Sus scrofa: one gene and its partner. The protein of the gene in region 2 purifies or fractionates together with the protein of the main gene of each other region. This does not show direct contact. Links are inferred from orthologs where the notes say so. Each region holds a gene or a part of one and is shown on either strand. Other genes may lie near its edges.

What was found.
Region 1: the proteins of SAE1 (region 2) and SUMO3 purify together in Homo sapiens (affinity purification with mass spectrometry; 3 studies listed by BioGRID and IntAct, with this or other methods). This does not show direct contact. The link is inferred for Sus scrofa from reciprocal best matches to the Homo sapiens genes SAE1 and SUMO3.

The regions. Positions count from the first base shown.
Region 1 is NC_010455.5:207,479,399-207,487,728, forward strand, and holds the start of SUMO3 (small ubiquitin-related modifier 3), read right to left. Parts: upstream 4,965-8,330; 5' UTR 4,742-4,964; coding exon 4,721-4,741; intron 1,757-4,720; coding exon 1,628-1,756; intron 1-1,627. UniProt on the Homo sapiens protein: Ubiquitin-like protein which can be covalently attached to target lysines either as a monomer or as a lysine-linked polymer. Does not seem to be involved in protein degradation and may function as an antagonist of ubiquitin in the degradation process.
Region 2 is NC_010448.4:52,976,294-52,984,523, reverse strand, and holds part of SAE1 (SUMO-activating enzyme subunit 1), read right to left. Parts: intron 6,581-8,230; coding exon 6,407-6,580; intron 3,985-6,406; coding exon 3,842-3,984; intron 2,093-3,841; coding exon 1,993-2,092; intron 1-1,992. UniProt on the Homo sapiens protein: The heterodimer acts as an E1 ligase for SUMO1, SUMO2, SUMO3, and probably SUMO4. It mediates ATP-dependent activation of SUMO proteins followed by formation of a thioester bond between a SUMO protein and a conserved active site cysteine residue on UBA2/SAE2.

The DNA of each region.
Region 1 (8,330 bases), on a different chromosome or scaffold from region 2:
CTTCCACACCAGCAGTGGAAAATCAAGTAAATGCTGCAGTAAGTCCCCAAGAAGAAAATGAGTTTCAACCTAGAAACTAACATTCAGGAGTTCCTATCATGGCTCAGCGGTAACGAACCCGACCTGTATTGAGGAGGACACGGGTTTGACCCCTGGCCTCGCTCAGCGGGTTAAGGATCTGGCGTTGCCGTGAGCCGTGGTGTAGGCCAGATCTGGCATTGCCATGGCTGTGGTGTAGGCTGGTGGCTACCGCTCCAATTCAACCCCGACCCTGGGAACTACCACATGCTGTGGGCACGGCCCTGAAAAAAAAGGGAAGAAATTTGCAAATAGTCAGTGTGAAGGTTTATAAAGCAATTCACTTTTCAGACACGCAGCACTTACACACTCTCTGAACAAGATACAGGAAGATACGCTCCATCAAAACAGGGAGGAAAGATCAATCCAGAAAACACACAGGAGAGGACTAAGGATGCTTCCAGAACCTTCCAAAGTGGGGCAGGAAGGGAGGGGCCCCGGGAGGGACGACGGGACAGCAAAGACCCAGGGCGTGGGGGTGAGGCAGCAGGGCGGGCAGTACGGGGCACGGGGCACACACACAACTGCCACCAGGCCAGGAGAAACAGGCTCGGGCAGGAGCCAGAAATCAGCACAGGTCGCCGTGTGGCCCTGGGAGCAGCGCAGCTCCGCCCCAGTCACGACAGAATCAGGAGATTCCAGAGCAAAGGACTGGCGTCGAGGCCAGAATCTGTGCACAGGGGCTGCGGGTGGGCGCGGATGGCGTGGCAGGGCTCAGCCCACCTGTCCCAGGAGAACTCCACCTCCAAATCAAGAGGACGAGGAGGAGAGGCACGGACACGCGCACCCCGAAAACGCAGGAAAAAAGCTGGGCAGTGATGGCCTCTGAAGAGCAAGGTCTGAAAAGCGAGGCGAGAAAGACGAAGGCGTGGAGTTTCAGGTGCTTTTCATAACAGCGACAAGCACAAGCCCAGGCAAAGAGCATCCAAGGCAAGAACAGGAACTGAGGTCCGCTATTTCCAAAGCATCCGGAGAAACGCCACCGCCAGAAAGGACCGGCTCCCGTGGGGGCCCAAGGACACAGTCCCGCTCACACGAGAGGGACACGGAAGCGGTCCATCTCACGGGTCCCTGTGGGGGGCATGAGAGCCTCTGCTCCCGACCTCGAAGAGCAATAAAGAAAGGGCAAGAATCAAGCACTGTCTGGAAACCAAGCCAGGCCGGGTCTCCACAGACGCCGAGGAGGAGAAGGGGGACGCGAACCCCCCGCTATGATCCCAGCAGCACCAGGAAGACTTGCCAGGCAACCCGACCAGGGGCAACGGGTGCCCTACCTGCTAAAGATGGAGCGACCGCCAGCCTGCAGGAGACGGGACAGAAGAGGGAGGGCCTCCGGGGAGGGGGGGCGTGCACACACACAAGCACAAGCACACAGGCAGGCACGCACACACAAAGGGGCACACGCACATACACAGGCACACACAAGCACACACGCAGGCACACATGCACACAGGCACGCAGGCACGCACACACACAGGTGCACACGCGCACACACAAGTGCACACGCGTGCACACGCAGGCACGCGCAGGCGCTCCAGCACCACCGCACCTGGCGCTCGCAGTAGGCCTTCATCAGCTTGCTGAGCGGCGTGTGTCTCTTGATCTTGAACTGGACCACGGAGCCGTCCTGCCCGGCCACCTTCAGGTTGATGTGGTCATTCTCCGTCTTCACCCCCTCCTGCAACGACACGCGGATCTGGCCTCCGCCCGCCTCCCCACTGCCCGCCGCTCAAAGGCCAGCGTTCGGCGGCGGCTGGTCTCCCCGACATCATTGGAACCAACCCAATTCCCCCCTCGCTCCAGCAATCCCACCTCTGCCCAGAAGCCTTGATTTCCGCACAGAACTTCTAACACGTCCCACGTCTAATGTCTTCAGACTCGATTCGAGGGAGAACACCCGCCTAACGGACCCCGGAACCCACAGAGGGCAAGTCCATCTTTGCCCTGAGATCACTTAAAAAAAATCATTCATTGACTTATTTTGCCTTTTTAGGGTCGCACCCATGGCATTTGGAGGTTCCCAGGCGAGGGGTCAAATCGGAGTTGTAGCTGCCGGCCTCCACCACAGCCACAGCAACGCCAGATCCTTAAACCACTGAGCAAGGCCGGGCATCGAACCCACGTCCTCATGGATACGAGTCGGGTTCATACCACTGAGCCACAATGGGAACTCCCATTGTGTTTTTTGATGTACAAAATTTTTACAATTTTCACGAAGTCTAGTTTGTCTGTTTTTCTTCATGCTGCCTGTGCCACTGGTGTCACATCCAAGAAGCCACTGCCAGGTCCCATGTCATGGAGCTTTCCTCTGTTTTCTCCCGAGAGTTGTACTGTTTTAGGTCCTTGGTCCACCTTGAGTTAATTTTTGCATATAGTGACAAGAAAAATCCAACTTCAGTCTTTTTTTTTTTTACGGCCACATGTGCAACATATGGAGGTTCCCGGGCTAGGGGTCCAATCGGAGGTGTAGCTGCCGGCCTAACAGGACAGCCATGGCAAGGCAGGATCCAAGCTGCGTCTGTGGCCTACACCACAGCTCACAGCAATGCTACATCCTTAATCCACCGAGCGAGGCCAGGGATCGAACCCGAAACCTATGGGTACTAGCAGGGTTCCTTAGCACTGAACCACAAGGGGAATGCCTCCAACTTTATTCTCTTTGCATGTGGACATAGGATGCATTGCTTTTTTAATGAGAAGGTACTGGTGTGTTCAATGAGACGCAGGGGCCAGAGCACAAAGCAGACAGAGACAGGGCAGGGGCTGAAGGCCAGGCAGAGGAAGGCACCGAGACCACATGGCCTGTGCCCGGCCCTGGTGAATTCCCAATAAGCCAGTGAACTACTGCAAAGAAAGGGGGTGGACAAGACCCACAGTTCCGACCAGCAGGCCTCTGCCTGTGCTCTCCAGGGAGGCAGAACTGGCCTCCCAACGGATCCCAAGGTTTTCTTTTCACCAAGATGGGCTGGAGCGGGCCTCCTACCACCCCCAGGCCCAGAGGAGAGCTCGGCAGGCAGCGAGGCTGTGGTGGGCAGGGGTGGGGCACGAGGCCTTGTCTGGAAAGCAGTGAAAACAAGTTTATTCAACTGAATTGGGCTGTGGGCTGGACCACGTGGGAGAGCTAAGTTTAAACACACCGAAGGAATGAGATCTATGTGTATTTCATCGCATTTAAACTGCAGAAAGAGGCCCCCAGAAAGCATGAAGAAGGGGCGCTTGTGTTCAGCCTCCAATAAACAAAGGATCCAGGGCGCGAGCGCTAGCAAAGGCTGAGTGAGAAATGTAACTGGCCGCAAGGAAAAAGCAAAGGCAGGAGTTCCTGCTGTGGCGCAAAGGGACTGACGGGTCTCTGCAGGGGCAGGGAGGGACATGAGTTCGATACCAGGCACAGTGGGTAAAGGTTCAATGTTACCATAGCCGTAGCATAGGACACAGCTCTGCTGGGATTCAACCCATGGCACAGGAACTGCATGTGCCATGGGGCAGCCAAAATAAAAGAAAAAGAAGTAATAAAATAGAATAAAAAACAAAGCTCCAACTGCACCCGGAGAGAGGAAGCTCCTGAGGGCACCTCTTCTCACAGGCCCCACAGTGGGCTCCCGACCTGGGGCTCAACCAGGGGGTCTCTGACCAGGGGTTTGGTGACCAGGGGTTCCGTGCCCTGGACCCCAACCCCAGCTCTGCCTCCTGGGCTCCAGCCTCAGCTGCAGGGGGGGAACCTCCAGCGGGGCTGGCAGCAGAGAAAGCCTGCACGCCATCGTTCAACTCGCAGCAGATCTGCTACTTGGAAAACACTGACCCCAAGGGTCCAGAAGCCCGTCTTTAATAGGAGGGGGAGGGCTAAGGGCCAGCGCAGCAGACTCAAGGGCGCAGACCTGACAGCCTGGGGGAAGGGCGGCAGGGGGCACACAGTAAACGACGGGGGAGGTGGGCGCACGCCCAGGGGGGCGACCGTGCCTCCAGACAGGTCAGGCCTCTCAGAGCCCCTGTCCCCAGCCTGCGCCCCCTCGGGCTCTCCGCAGTGAGAGCTGAGGAGGAGGCCCTCCGAGGGGCAGTAGGGCCCAGGCAGGCCAGGACCTTCGGTCCTGGCATGAGGGGCGCAGCGGGGGGAGAGTCCGAAGAGGAAAGAGGTTCTGGGGAGGGGCGGTCCCAAAGGGGGACGAGGGGAGACCCAGGCGGGTCCCAGCCAGGAGGGTCAGGTCCAGGAGGGTCCAGGATGGTCCAGGATAGGGGTGCCACTCGCCGAGACAACGGGGCGGGGCTCTTCGGGGGCGGGGCGGGGCCGTGGGGGTGGAGCTCGTGTCTTGGGGGGGGAGGCCTGGGAGGGGCGGGGCTCGGGACGGGGCGGGCCCCGTGGGGAGGGGCCTGGGCGGAGGGAGGGGCCTGGGCGGAGGGAGGGGCCTGGGCGGAGGGAGGGGGCGCGCGGCGGGGCGCGCGGCCGGGCGGGGGAGGGGAGCCGAGCGGAGCCCGGCGGCGCGGGGGAGGGGGCCGGGGAAGCCGGGTGGCGCCGCGGACCCCGGGCCCCAGAGGCCGGCGGCGGGTCGGAGGGCGGTGCAGCACGGGGCGCAGGCGGGGGTGGGGACGGCGGCGACGGCGGCGTGGGCTGGAGGCAGAGCACGGGCCCGCGCCCTACGGCCCTTACCTTGGGCTTCTCCTCGGACATGGCTGCGCGCGGCGGGCGGCGGGGCAGCAGCAGCGCCGGGCGGGCGACTCACGCTCTCGGCCCGCCGCTCTCCCGCCGCAACTGCTCTCGGGGCCGCGCTTTGCCCCCAAATCCCTGCGCGCCGGTTGGCCGGCGCGGGTCACGTGGTGGGCGCGCGTGCACGAGGCGCGACCCCGGGGCGTCGGACGCGCGCCTGGCCTGCCGGCCGAGGTTCCTGGCGGTTGGAAATGCGTCACCGGGCGGGGCCCCGCGAAATCCGGCGTCGGGGTTGGGGGTTCCCAAGGCAGCGGGGGCTCGGGTCCGCCCGAGGGGTGGGGGGCGCGCTGGGACCCGGGAGGCGTGCAGGGCAGCTAGGGTGGGGACGGTGGGACCCAGGGGGCACACGGGGCAGCGATGGGGGCAAACTGGAACCCCGAGGTGCTCAGAGAACCGGGCCAGGAGGCCTTGCGCTTTATCATGGAGCCTGAGAACGGCCCCTGCTCTGGTCCCCATAACTGGTCCCCCTACTGCAGCAGCACCAGTCAAGCCTAAGTGCACCCACTGCTTTTCTTTTCTGGTTACGGTGTTTCTCAGAGGAAAAAAAGGAAAATAAAGCCAGCCAGGCGAGCCACTCCAGGGGACGTGAGTGAGAACAGTGTCTTGGGAGGCGCCCCCACTACTGGGGAAGGTGCAGCTTGCCTTCGCCCGGAGCCAAGTGTCGGACCTCGAAGTGGAGTGAAGGAAGGGGTGGAGGCTGACCCACCCGGCCACTCCGTCCACCAAGGAGTCAGGGCATGACTTCCTTTAGCAAACCCACTCAGGCTCCAAGGTCCGGCCACCTCCACTCTGCGATCCCAGGGGACGGAGGCATAAATGGCATTTCTGGGAGGGAGACGGGGAGGCAGAAGCCTCTCTCTGTGATGGGCTAGGCTGCTTGTTCTTCTCCCCCTGTCCAGCCCCCTTCTGAGCTTGGCCAGTGGAAGCCGAGCACCTGGGGCAGGTGGGGACCGCTTTGCTACCCTACCTGGAAGCTGTGCACCTGACCTTTACATCAGCCCATTTTACAGGTGAGGAAACTGAGTTACCTGACGTCCTAGCGTGGGTGAGCAATGCCGCTGGGATGTGAGCACAGGCAGTGGTCCGTGTGTCTGACCAGTGTGCTCTGCTGCCTCGGGACAAACCCAGGGCTCAACCCCAGCAGGACAGGCTGAAACGGGCACTCAGGCAACCTCGGGAAATGTGGTGAAGAATGGGCCCTGGTCAGGAAGCCCTCCAGGATTCTGAGGCCCTGGCTCTTCCTGCCCTCCCCGTCTCCACCCCATGCCTCAGAGGAAAGGGACCAGCAGTGGCCGACGTGGACTGACCCCTCGGGTGTGCCGGCTGTGGTCCCAAGCACGCATCAAGGCTCACAACACTCTGCAGCAGGGACCTTAGCCCCCTGTTCTTCCGGTCAGGGAATGAAGGTTGCACAGGGTCACGCACTAGGAGGTGGCAGGGTCTGGATTTGAACCCAGGTCACTAGATGGCTTCCATCTGAAGGCCCTGCTGACGGGGTTCTGCTTGCTTCCTGACGCTGTCGAAAGGCCACAGGGCCAGGTATTGATGGGCCTTAATTTCACAAACCACTTTGGACCCTTCAAAACACACTTCCTTGGGTGTTCCCATTGAAACAAACCCAACTAGCATCCATGAGGATGAGGGTTCAATCCCTGACCCCACTCAGTGGGTTAAGGAGCCGGTGTTGCTGTGAGCTATGGTGTAGGTCGCAGACATGGCTTGGATCTGGTGTTGCTGTGGCCGCGGGGTAGGCCGGCCGCTATAGCTCTGATTCAACCCCTAACCTGGGAACTTCCATCTGCTGCCGGTGGGGCCCTCAAAAATGAAAAAAAAAAAAAAAATCACATCCTTGGCTAGAGGCCCCGTTTAGGAGAAGGGAAGGCGCTTCCAAGAAACGGAGCTGCCACGTAGCAGGCTGACGAAGTCTCTCCATCGAAAGGTCCGAGCAGAGCCAACCTCCATCTCAGCCAGGACTGAGGGTCCTGGAGTCCGGACGGTGTCGCCTCTACCAGGGGGCCCTCGGGTACAACGACTGGCTCAAGCTCTGCTTCCTGGAGAGGGGGGTCTCCGGGAACTGGCCCCTTCCAGAACAGAGATGGACAGTGGGGCCCAGAACTGCCCCCGGCTGACGGGCTGTGGGGTAGCTTCGCGTAGGCGGCGTTTGGACCCATCGTTCGTCGTCGGCTCTGAGACACCATCAGCTGTAAAGCATGAAATTGGTTTATTTAGCACAGACGCGTTAAACCAAGACAGGTTTTGGACGGAAGACGTCCTGGTTTCAGACTTGCTGAAGGGTGAAAAACCTATGGCTTAGAATTGATGAAATGCAGTATCTAAAGGTGTTCCAGTAAGGATTCGAACTGTGGTTCATTCGTAGGACGAAAGCCTGCGTCCCCAGTAAAAGAAATGTGTAAAAAAAGAGTCCTTGGTGACAGGAAGAGATGCGCATATGTTGAGTCATTTTTTTTTTTCTTTTTATGGCCCCACCCGCGACACATGGAAGTACCCAGCTCAGGGGTTGAATCAGAGCTGCATCTGGGGCCCATGCCACAGCCACAGCCACACCAGATCCGAGCCGCCTCTGCGACCTATGCCGGATCCTGAACCCACTGAGCAAGGCCGGGGATGGAACCCACACACTCACAGAGGCTATACCAGTTCCTTAACCCGCTATGCCATAACGGGAACTCCTGCTGATACATTTTTTAAAAGTGAATTATAAAACTATTGCAGTTTTGAAGTTCCCTGGTGGCTCTCAGGTTAAGGATCCAGTGTTGTCACTGCTGTGGCTTGGGTCTCTGCTGTGGCGTGGGCTCCCTGGCCCGAGAACCTTTGTATGCCGTGAGCGCAGCCAAAAAAAAAAAAAGCCTATGGTTTTGAACGATCAGAAAATCTGTATGAAGTATGTTGAAGCTCTGCTTGAAGACACCAAATGGCTACCAAAACAGAAGAGACTCTCTCTGAGGGCAGAGATCCCAGAAGGAAGGGAAGTGGTTTTTCTTTCAGGGGTTTAGTGACTAGTATGGTGTGTCATCAGCTCAGTGGCTGTAACAAAATACCACAGCCCGGGCAGCTTGAGCAAATATTTATTCCCTCACAGTAGTGGAGGCTAGAAGGCCAAGATCAAGGCGGGCAGGTGGGTTTCTCCTGGGGCCTCTCTCCTCGGCTCGAAGGCGGCCACCAACTCCCCGTGTCCTCGCGGGGCCTTTCCTCTGCGTGTGCGTGGAGGGGCAGTGCCGTCCCTTAGGTATACAGCGGGCGAGGGGCTGAGACCCTGAGCAGAGCCTCTGGGTCTGAGGGGATGGAGGAGATAGTCCCTGGGCATGGCCGGGCAAGGTAAACTGGCTGGGGGCTCTGATGATGCCCCGGAGCTTCGGCTGGAGCTCTGGGCCTACAGCAGAGGAGTGAGGCTGAGGCCCAGGTAGGTGAGTCCACGGAGACTGAAACCGGCATCCAGAATTGCATTTGTGGAGCTCCCGCTGTGGCGTAACAGGGCCGGCCGTGTCTTGGGAGCCCTGAGAGGCAGGTTTGATCCCCGGCCCAGCACAGTGGC
Region 2 (8,230 bases):
GTTAACAATTTCTCTCCCCCACCAAACTCGCGGAGCTATTCAGATAAAGCTTTACTGGGCCTCTGAAAGAAAGAAAGAAAGGCAGGAAGGAAGAAAGGAAAGGACCCAAGTTTTGGCCAAAACACCAATGTTCACTCTGGATAATTACAATCTCGTGAATAGACACTAAAATTAGGGCTTAATAATTCCTCTGTTATCACACTCACAGCATCAAACTATTCCAGTACAAACATAAAGAGCAAGAAAAAGACAATCTCCAGTGCAGCCCTGCAGGAAACTCAGAGAGTTCCACTTTTGTGGTTTTCTGCAGTCTCTTTTGTGGTTTCTGCACTCTTAGAATCCCCCCTTTAGAGCAGTTTTAACTCGAGGCCCTGACCAGCTGTTTTTCTTTCTCAACGTTTCAATCTACAAAGCAAAGAGTAAATATGGGCTTGGTCATGTCTTTCCTCTCAGTTCAACAAAACCAATTCTGGCCACTTCATCTTGTTTTCCCCATCGCATAAGCTCCCCTCTCAGATCCCAACACAAGGCACAAAACCATCATCTGCTGATTCTCCTCCCACTCCACTTTCTAGAAAATGAATTACGGCACCAATTCTAGAAAAATATACCCTTGATAACACTTGTCAACACTGAGATCTTTCTTCTTAAAAGGTTATTTGGTGGGGGAAAAAAACCTTTATTTTAAAAAAGCAATTAAGCAATTCAAGTTTAAACTGTCTCCCAGCTTACTTAGAACCTTACTAAATTGTCTATCAATATGAAAAGAAAAACATTTTTCTTTAAGAGTAATAGTCTCGGTGTTCCCGTCGTGTCACAGCAGAAACAAATCCAACTAGGAACCACGAGGTGGTGGGTTCCACCCCTGGCCTCACTCAGTGGGTTAAGGGTCCGGCATTGCCGTGAATTGTTGTGTAGGTCATAGGTGCAGCTGGGACCCCGTGTTGCAGTGGCTCTGGCGTAGGCCAGCGGCTACAGCTCCAATTAGACCCCTAGCCTGGGAACCTCCATATGCTGAGGGTGCGGCCCTGAAAAGACAAAAAAAAAAAAAAAAAAAAGTTTGGGGGAGTTTCTATTGTGGCTCAGCAGAAAACGAATCTGGGAGTTCCTGTCGTGGCGCAGTGGTTAACGAATCCGACTAGGAACCATGAGGTTGCGGGTTCGGTCCCTGCCCTTGCTCAGTGGGTTAACGATCCGGCGTTGCCGTGAGCTGTGGTGTAGGTTGCAGACGCGGCTCGGATCCCGCGTTGCTGTGGCTCTGGCGTAGGCCTGTGGCTACAGCTCCGATTCAACCCCTAGCCTGGGAACCTCCATATGCCGCGGAAGCGGCCCAAGAGAGATAGCAACAACAACAACAAAAGACAAAAGACAAAAAAAAAAAAAAAAAAAAAAACGAATCTGACTAGTATCCATGAGGATGTAGGTTTAACCCTGGGCTCACTCAGTGAGTTAAGGATCTGGCATTGCCGTGAGCTGAGGTGCAGGTCACAGACAAGGCTCATATCCCAAGCTGCTGTGGCTGTGGTGTAGGCTGGCGGCTACAGCTCAGATTCTACCACTAGCCTGGAACCTCCACATGCCTCAGGAGCATCCCTAGAAAAAAAAAAGCTGGGGACAGGAGTTCCCTGGTGGCCTAGCAGTTACGCAGTCAGTGTTGTCACTTCTGTGGTACAAGTCACTGCTATGGCAAGGTTCGATCCCTGGCCAGGGAACTTGTGCATGGCAGGAGGGCAGACCACCTCCCTCCAAGTCTACATTTCTGATTCTCTGGCATCACTAGGTCCACACTCCCCCAAGGCTACAGCTGGCTGGTGCTAAGTGCAGTTGCCCCCCTTTAAATGGGGCAAGTGTTGGCCCTGTCTGTCCAGACTCCTCCCTTCAGGACAACATGCATGCTTCCCTTGCTGGCAATAGTTATGGCCTGTCCCCTCCAAGGCCACAGGACTTCTGAACCTTGACACAGCACCCTCCCTGACCACCCCCAACCCATACCTTTTTGACCATGGTTGTCTCAGATGAATCAAGTTTGGCTCTCTTGGTATCAGGTCCATCTTCTACTCCTTGACTAACTTTGGCAACTTTGGTTTTCTCCCTAGAGGGTGACAAGGGGAGGGGATCAAGTTCTAGCCTACTAATCAGGCCATTAGAACAAAAAGAATATCACCAGCTCACTGAGCAGGATGATATTTAAGAGCAAAAGGTCGTATAGATCTGGGTTCACATCCCAGCCTGGCCACTGATTACCTGATGTGGCACTTAGCCACTCTGTGGGAGTAACAACCCTTGCAGGATTATTGAAAGAGAAATAACACACTTAGCACACTGCCCAGCACATAGTAAGTTCTCAGTAAACTTTGTAGACATTCTACTTGAATCCTGTGCTAGAGAGCTGAACTTAATCCCTTCCCCTGCCATAAGGAGCGTACATTAAAATCACCTGGCCTTCTTCCCCTACTGACTTGCTTTTTTGTCTTTTGTCTTTTTAGGGCTGCACCCTCGGCATATGGAGGTTCCCAGGCTGGGGTCCAATCAGAGCTGTAGCTGCCACCTAAGCCACAGCCACAGCCACACCAGACCCAAGCTGCATCTTCGACCTACACCACAGCTCACGGCAACGCTGGATCCTTAACCCACGGAGCAAGGGCAGGGATTGAACTCACGTCCTCATGGATACTAGTCGGGTTCATCAACCACTGAGCCACAACGGGAACTCCTACTATGACTTCTTTATCCATTTATAATGTGCACAAAGAACTAGGTTTTCTTAAAGCCATAAAACATTAGTTACGAGAGACTTTGAATGTTTGGCCTTCCCCCATCTCAATTTCAGAGGCAAGAAACTTGTAGACCAGAGAAATTTCAGTGACTTATCTGAGACTCTGAATCCAAGAAAGCAGTTCTTGACTCTCAGTGGAGGCTTCACCTACCTCACAGGGCCTCTCTTCACCTCGCATCAGCAAGGTGGGTGGTCAAAAGTTACAAACCCCAAACAACTCATGTACTTTAACAACGCTGGTGTCATCTGCCATCTTTCATCTAGAAGCTACGAGTTCAAAACTGCAGGTCCCCTCATGAGAATCACCACGGTCTGCAACCTCAACGTTTAGAGAGGAGATCTGTTTGCTCCACCAGAGCAGTTTCTGGACCCTGGAGCTTTCCCAAGGTGGACTGTGGTACAACATACCTCCAGAGCCACCCATCTAACTATTTAATACTCACTTTACTATCGCTCACCCTGAACACAGCAAACCCGAGCTGGGGAACGAATGTTTACAATCCAAACACGTCTCCCCTAGACAGACTGTGGCTTTACCACCACAAGGCCAGACTGATCAGATAACATACCCCTGTGGTGTGCTTTCCTCATGCTCTAGAAAAGGCAGGGCCATGTCTCTTGCAATTTGAACATACAATCCACGTATTCAGTAAGCTGGTAATGAACTGGTTTTCCAAAATGCTAAATGTTATAGCAATCTACTTTGCTTAAATGGCTCATTTCTGATCAGTAAATAAGACTACATTTTGAAGAGTTCCCATTGTGGTTCAGTGGTTAACGAACCTGACTAGTAACTGTGAGGTTGCAGGTTCCATCCCTGGACTCGCTCAGTGGATTAAGGATCCAGCGTTGCGGTGAGCTGTGGTGTAGGTCGCAGATGCAGTTCGGATCCCGCGTAGCTGTGGCTGTGGTGTAAGCCAGTGGCTACAGCTCCTATCAGGCCTCTAGCCTAGGAACCTCCATATGCCTCGGGTGCAGCCCTAAAAAGCAAAAAAAAAAAAAACAAAAAAACAAAAAACTACATTTTGAAAATGCTATGTTCTCTCCTCCTCTCCCCAAACTTACTCCACAAATTCATGCTCTCCAAGATTGGCAAATGTGTATCCGTGGTAGCCAAAAACATCTCCTGTGAAGAATTTGATGCTGTTTTTGTGACAGATCTGGTCAACTTTAACTATGACATCCCTGGAGCAGCAAGTTAGACAAACCTGCAGAAAGAAAGAAAGCAGCTGGGTGTGAATTGTGCAGACTGTGAATCACTGCCCCTGATGTCTAAATAAATCTTAATGAACAGTCTCTCTGGGCATCGGGCATGTCTAAAAAGCAGTTTCAAACTGGTACAACAGGTTCTTCGGATGCTATGAAGACAAAAGAAATGTTTCAGTGTACAGAAAACGTAAATTATGAGACCGTCACTTTACCTTCTGCAACCAGAACGAGACGTGTTTAGCAGGAGAGTGAAAGGCATTCCATGAACTTGCTCCCCTAATTCATGAACATATATAAACCACACTTCATAGTTTTCATGAAAAGACAATAGTAATATAACTTAGAGTGAATTATTTCTAACTTACTAAACCTATTAAAATTGGAATAAGCTATAGGGAGAAGCAAAACTAGTTTCTGAAATTCACCTAAAGGTCATGTTTAAATACAAGGGCATTTTTCCTTCCTTCTTTTGATAGATATGTTAAGATAAAGAAGATAAACAAGTCCTATTGAGATTATTTTTCCAGTTTTCGATGTGAAACTTTATCTGAATTTAAGGACAAAAGAAAAGGTTACAGACCAAGTGACCTCCCATTCAGACCTAGACAATGAGCTGGTGATTCACTCAGTGGAATTATCAAAGTGGCTCTGACACCTCTAGGTTGTTTTCCAGTAAATGGAGGTATTGGAAACAGCTAAGTTTTAAGGCACAGAACATCGGTCTCTTCTGGGGAGAAGCTTTGTGATCAGGGCCAAGAAGACACCTTCTAAATTGCACATGTTTTCTTCTGAACACTGAAAGCTGGAAAATCACAAAATGATATTTTCATTTGATAAACCCCTTTGCTCTTGTCTGGTAGCCTGAATACTGAAATAACGCTTACAGAGAAATATGAACCTCTGCTGCCATTCAAAGGGTGCAGGCACCCGAGGAAAAAATCAAAGAGATAAGACAGCGGCAGTTGAACATACAACCAACTGACCAAATGAAGCCCTGAAGTCAAAAGCGAGTGTTAAAACCTCAAGGACCGGTCAAATGTGGCTCAAACACAAGGACGTCACACTTGCCCCGTGAACACGTGTGATACAAGCCAACAAACCCCTGGTTTGGTTCCAACTAAGCTTTCAAGGGACACCTAGAGTACACCAAATGTGGTTATTATGGATAAAGACATGAAGAGAGGACTTAGGTCCAAATGGAAAATATTCCAGTACCTGAACTTACAAAATAGAATGATTTTTTTAAAAAGGGACAAATGCACAGATGATCACCATTCCAAGCCCACATTTGAACAGATGCACATATGAAATGTAACAGTGTGAAAAACAAACTACCAAACCCAGATTTCACTCTTTCATGTAATGGGCCTTTCATTTAAAAAAAACAAGTAGGTCATGTGCGACTACTTCATGGTTATCCAACATTTGTGAAGCTTTTCCAGGGTACAGGGAACCACGTCTGAAAGGTCACAGATACTGAACAGAACTTAACTTCTCCTTTCACCTCTGCAAAGATTTGGCAGTGAAATCAAATGAGGTTGGACATGGCTCATTTGGCTTATGACTATAGTGATTTTGTCTAGTTATCCATGGCAACATGGTCAAAGTGGCTGCGTGAGCGAGACATAGACAGACCAAGATCAGGTGTGCTCTTTTTAAAGACAAAACACAAGCTGTAGTTTGATATTTCTAACACACACAAAAAAATGACTCTGCTGCAAGAAATTAATCACCAACTTGTTAAGCTTTCAGGAGAAAACATTTGCAATAAAATGTATAGAAGCTACATGCAAAGATTCTGGATAGAAGACAAAACACCAATGACGAAACCTGGTCTTGGGGAAAATATGCCCAAAGGAGAAACCAAAAGATAGCAACTCAGGAGTTCTGGTCGTGGTGCAGCGGAAACGAATCCGACTAGGAACCATGGGGTTTCAGGTTCGATCCCTGGCCTCACTCAGTGGGTTAAGGATCCAGCGCTGCCGTGAGCTGTGGCGTAGGTTGCAGACAGGGCTCAGATCTGGCATTGCTATGGCTGGGTGTAGGTCGGCAGCTGTAGCTCCGATTAGACCCCTAGCCTGGGAACCTCCATATGCCGCGGGTGCGGCCCTAAAAAGACAAAAGACAAAAAAAAGATAGCAACTCACAAGCAACTACAGCTGATTCAACAGACTGGATCTACCTACCAATACACTCAATATACTAAGGCAACACACTAATAAAGCATACACACTAAGGCAATGTAAGACTTCCATCTGTAAGGCAACAGACTAAAACTAAAGAACAGAACAGCTTATAAATCTACTTGGGAAAACACTCAGATCTGAAATTCTAATGCTCCAGTGTACCTAGTATATATGCCACTAATGCTTTAATTTGCTGAATTCCCACCGCAGATTTTACATTCCCTATGAAACTTACAGCATCGAACTGAGTGAAAAATGACTCGGGTTTGTTTTCTATATTCTCAGTGTCCACCTTCACATCCACCATGGGGTTGAGATTCTGTGCTCGCTCCAAAGAGGCTTCAGCCCTGTTTCGGCCAACAGACCCAGTTCGGATCAGGAACTGAGCTCCAGGGTCTTCTGGTGATACCTAGAAATATATATATATATATATATATATATTTTAATACCTAAATTTAGGGGGAAAACAAATGGATTTTTCCATTTTGAAGGATAACTAAAGTATCTACCATTTAATTGTATTACTACTATTCCTATAGGAATTTGCCCAATGCAGAGTTCCTATACTCTCTCCTTCTGAGATTTTAAAACATATTTAACGGAGTTCCCATTGTGGCTCAGCGGTAACAAACCCCACCAGTATCCATGAGGATGTGGTTGATCCCTGGCCTCACTCAGGGGTTAAGGATCCGGCATTGCCATGAGCTGTGGTGTAGGTCACAGACACAGCTCGGATCTGGCATTGCTATGGCTGTGGTGTAGGCCAGCAGCTGCAGCTCTGGTTTGACCCCTGTCCTGGGAACCTCCACAAGCTATAGGTGTGGACCTAAAAAGATAAAAAATAAATAAAACAAAGTAAAATAAAATAGATATTTAACTTTTCTTTTGGCCTCACCCATGGCATGTGTAATTTCCCAGGCCAGGGATCAAACCTGCACCACAGCAGTGACCCAAGCCACTGCAGTGAGGACAATGGATCCTTAACTCCAGGAGCCACAAGAGAACTCTCAAAAACTTTTTTTTTTTTTAAACTGGGCATTCACAGTTAAAGAGCACCCCCTTGTGTTTATAATGAAAATTCACTCTAAACAAGAAAGTCCTTGCTTCCTTAAGTAAGTTTGTAACTGAAAATTAACGATATGACATAATTATCAGTGCTAAGAATTAACCGAATACCTACCATGTGCCCAACTCTAAACCATGTAGAAATACATAAGGAGTTTAAAGGATGTAGTCCCTACTTACAAGTGGTTTAAAATCAGACCATGAGATCCTGCTGTATAGCACAGGGAACTATATCTAGTCATTTGTGATGGAACATGACGGAGGATAATGTGAGAAAAAGAATATACATATATATATAATACATATACATATATATAATGTATGACTGGGTCACTTTGCTATACAGCAGAAATTGACAGAACACTGTAAATCAACTACAATAGAAAAAATAAAAATCTTAAAAAAAAATTAGATCAATGCAAATCAGACACAATTAAGAATGTTTGAAATAAACTCTTATATTCAGTCAAAACTCGGACAGGAGGAGAGATGAGGGGAGGCTGGAGCAGAGGGATAATTTCACTTATAAGGCCAGATGTCAGCAGAAGCCTCAAAAACAGATAATATTATCACCTGACAGCCACCAATAGGATTACAGATTTCACTATTCAAAATACATTTCTTGGGGGAATTCCCATCGTGGCTCAGTGGAAATGAATCGGACTGGGAACCATGAGGTTTCAGGTTTGATCCCTGGCCTCGATCAGTGGGTTAAAGATCCAGCGTTGCCGTGAGCTGTGGCGTAGGTCGCAGACAAGGCTCAGATCTGGCGCCGCTATGGCAAAGGCCAGTGGCTACAGCTCCTATTAGACTCCTAGCATGGGAACCTCCATATGCCAGGGTTGCGACCCTTAAAAAAAAAAAAAAAAGACCAAAAAAAAAAAACTTTCTTCACACAAAAAACATCTAATATAGGAGTTCCCTGGTAGCCTAGTAGGTTAAGGATCCAGTGCTATCACTGTACCAACTTGGGCCACCTCTGTGGCACAGTTTG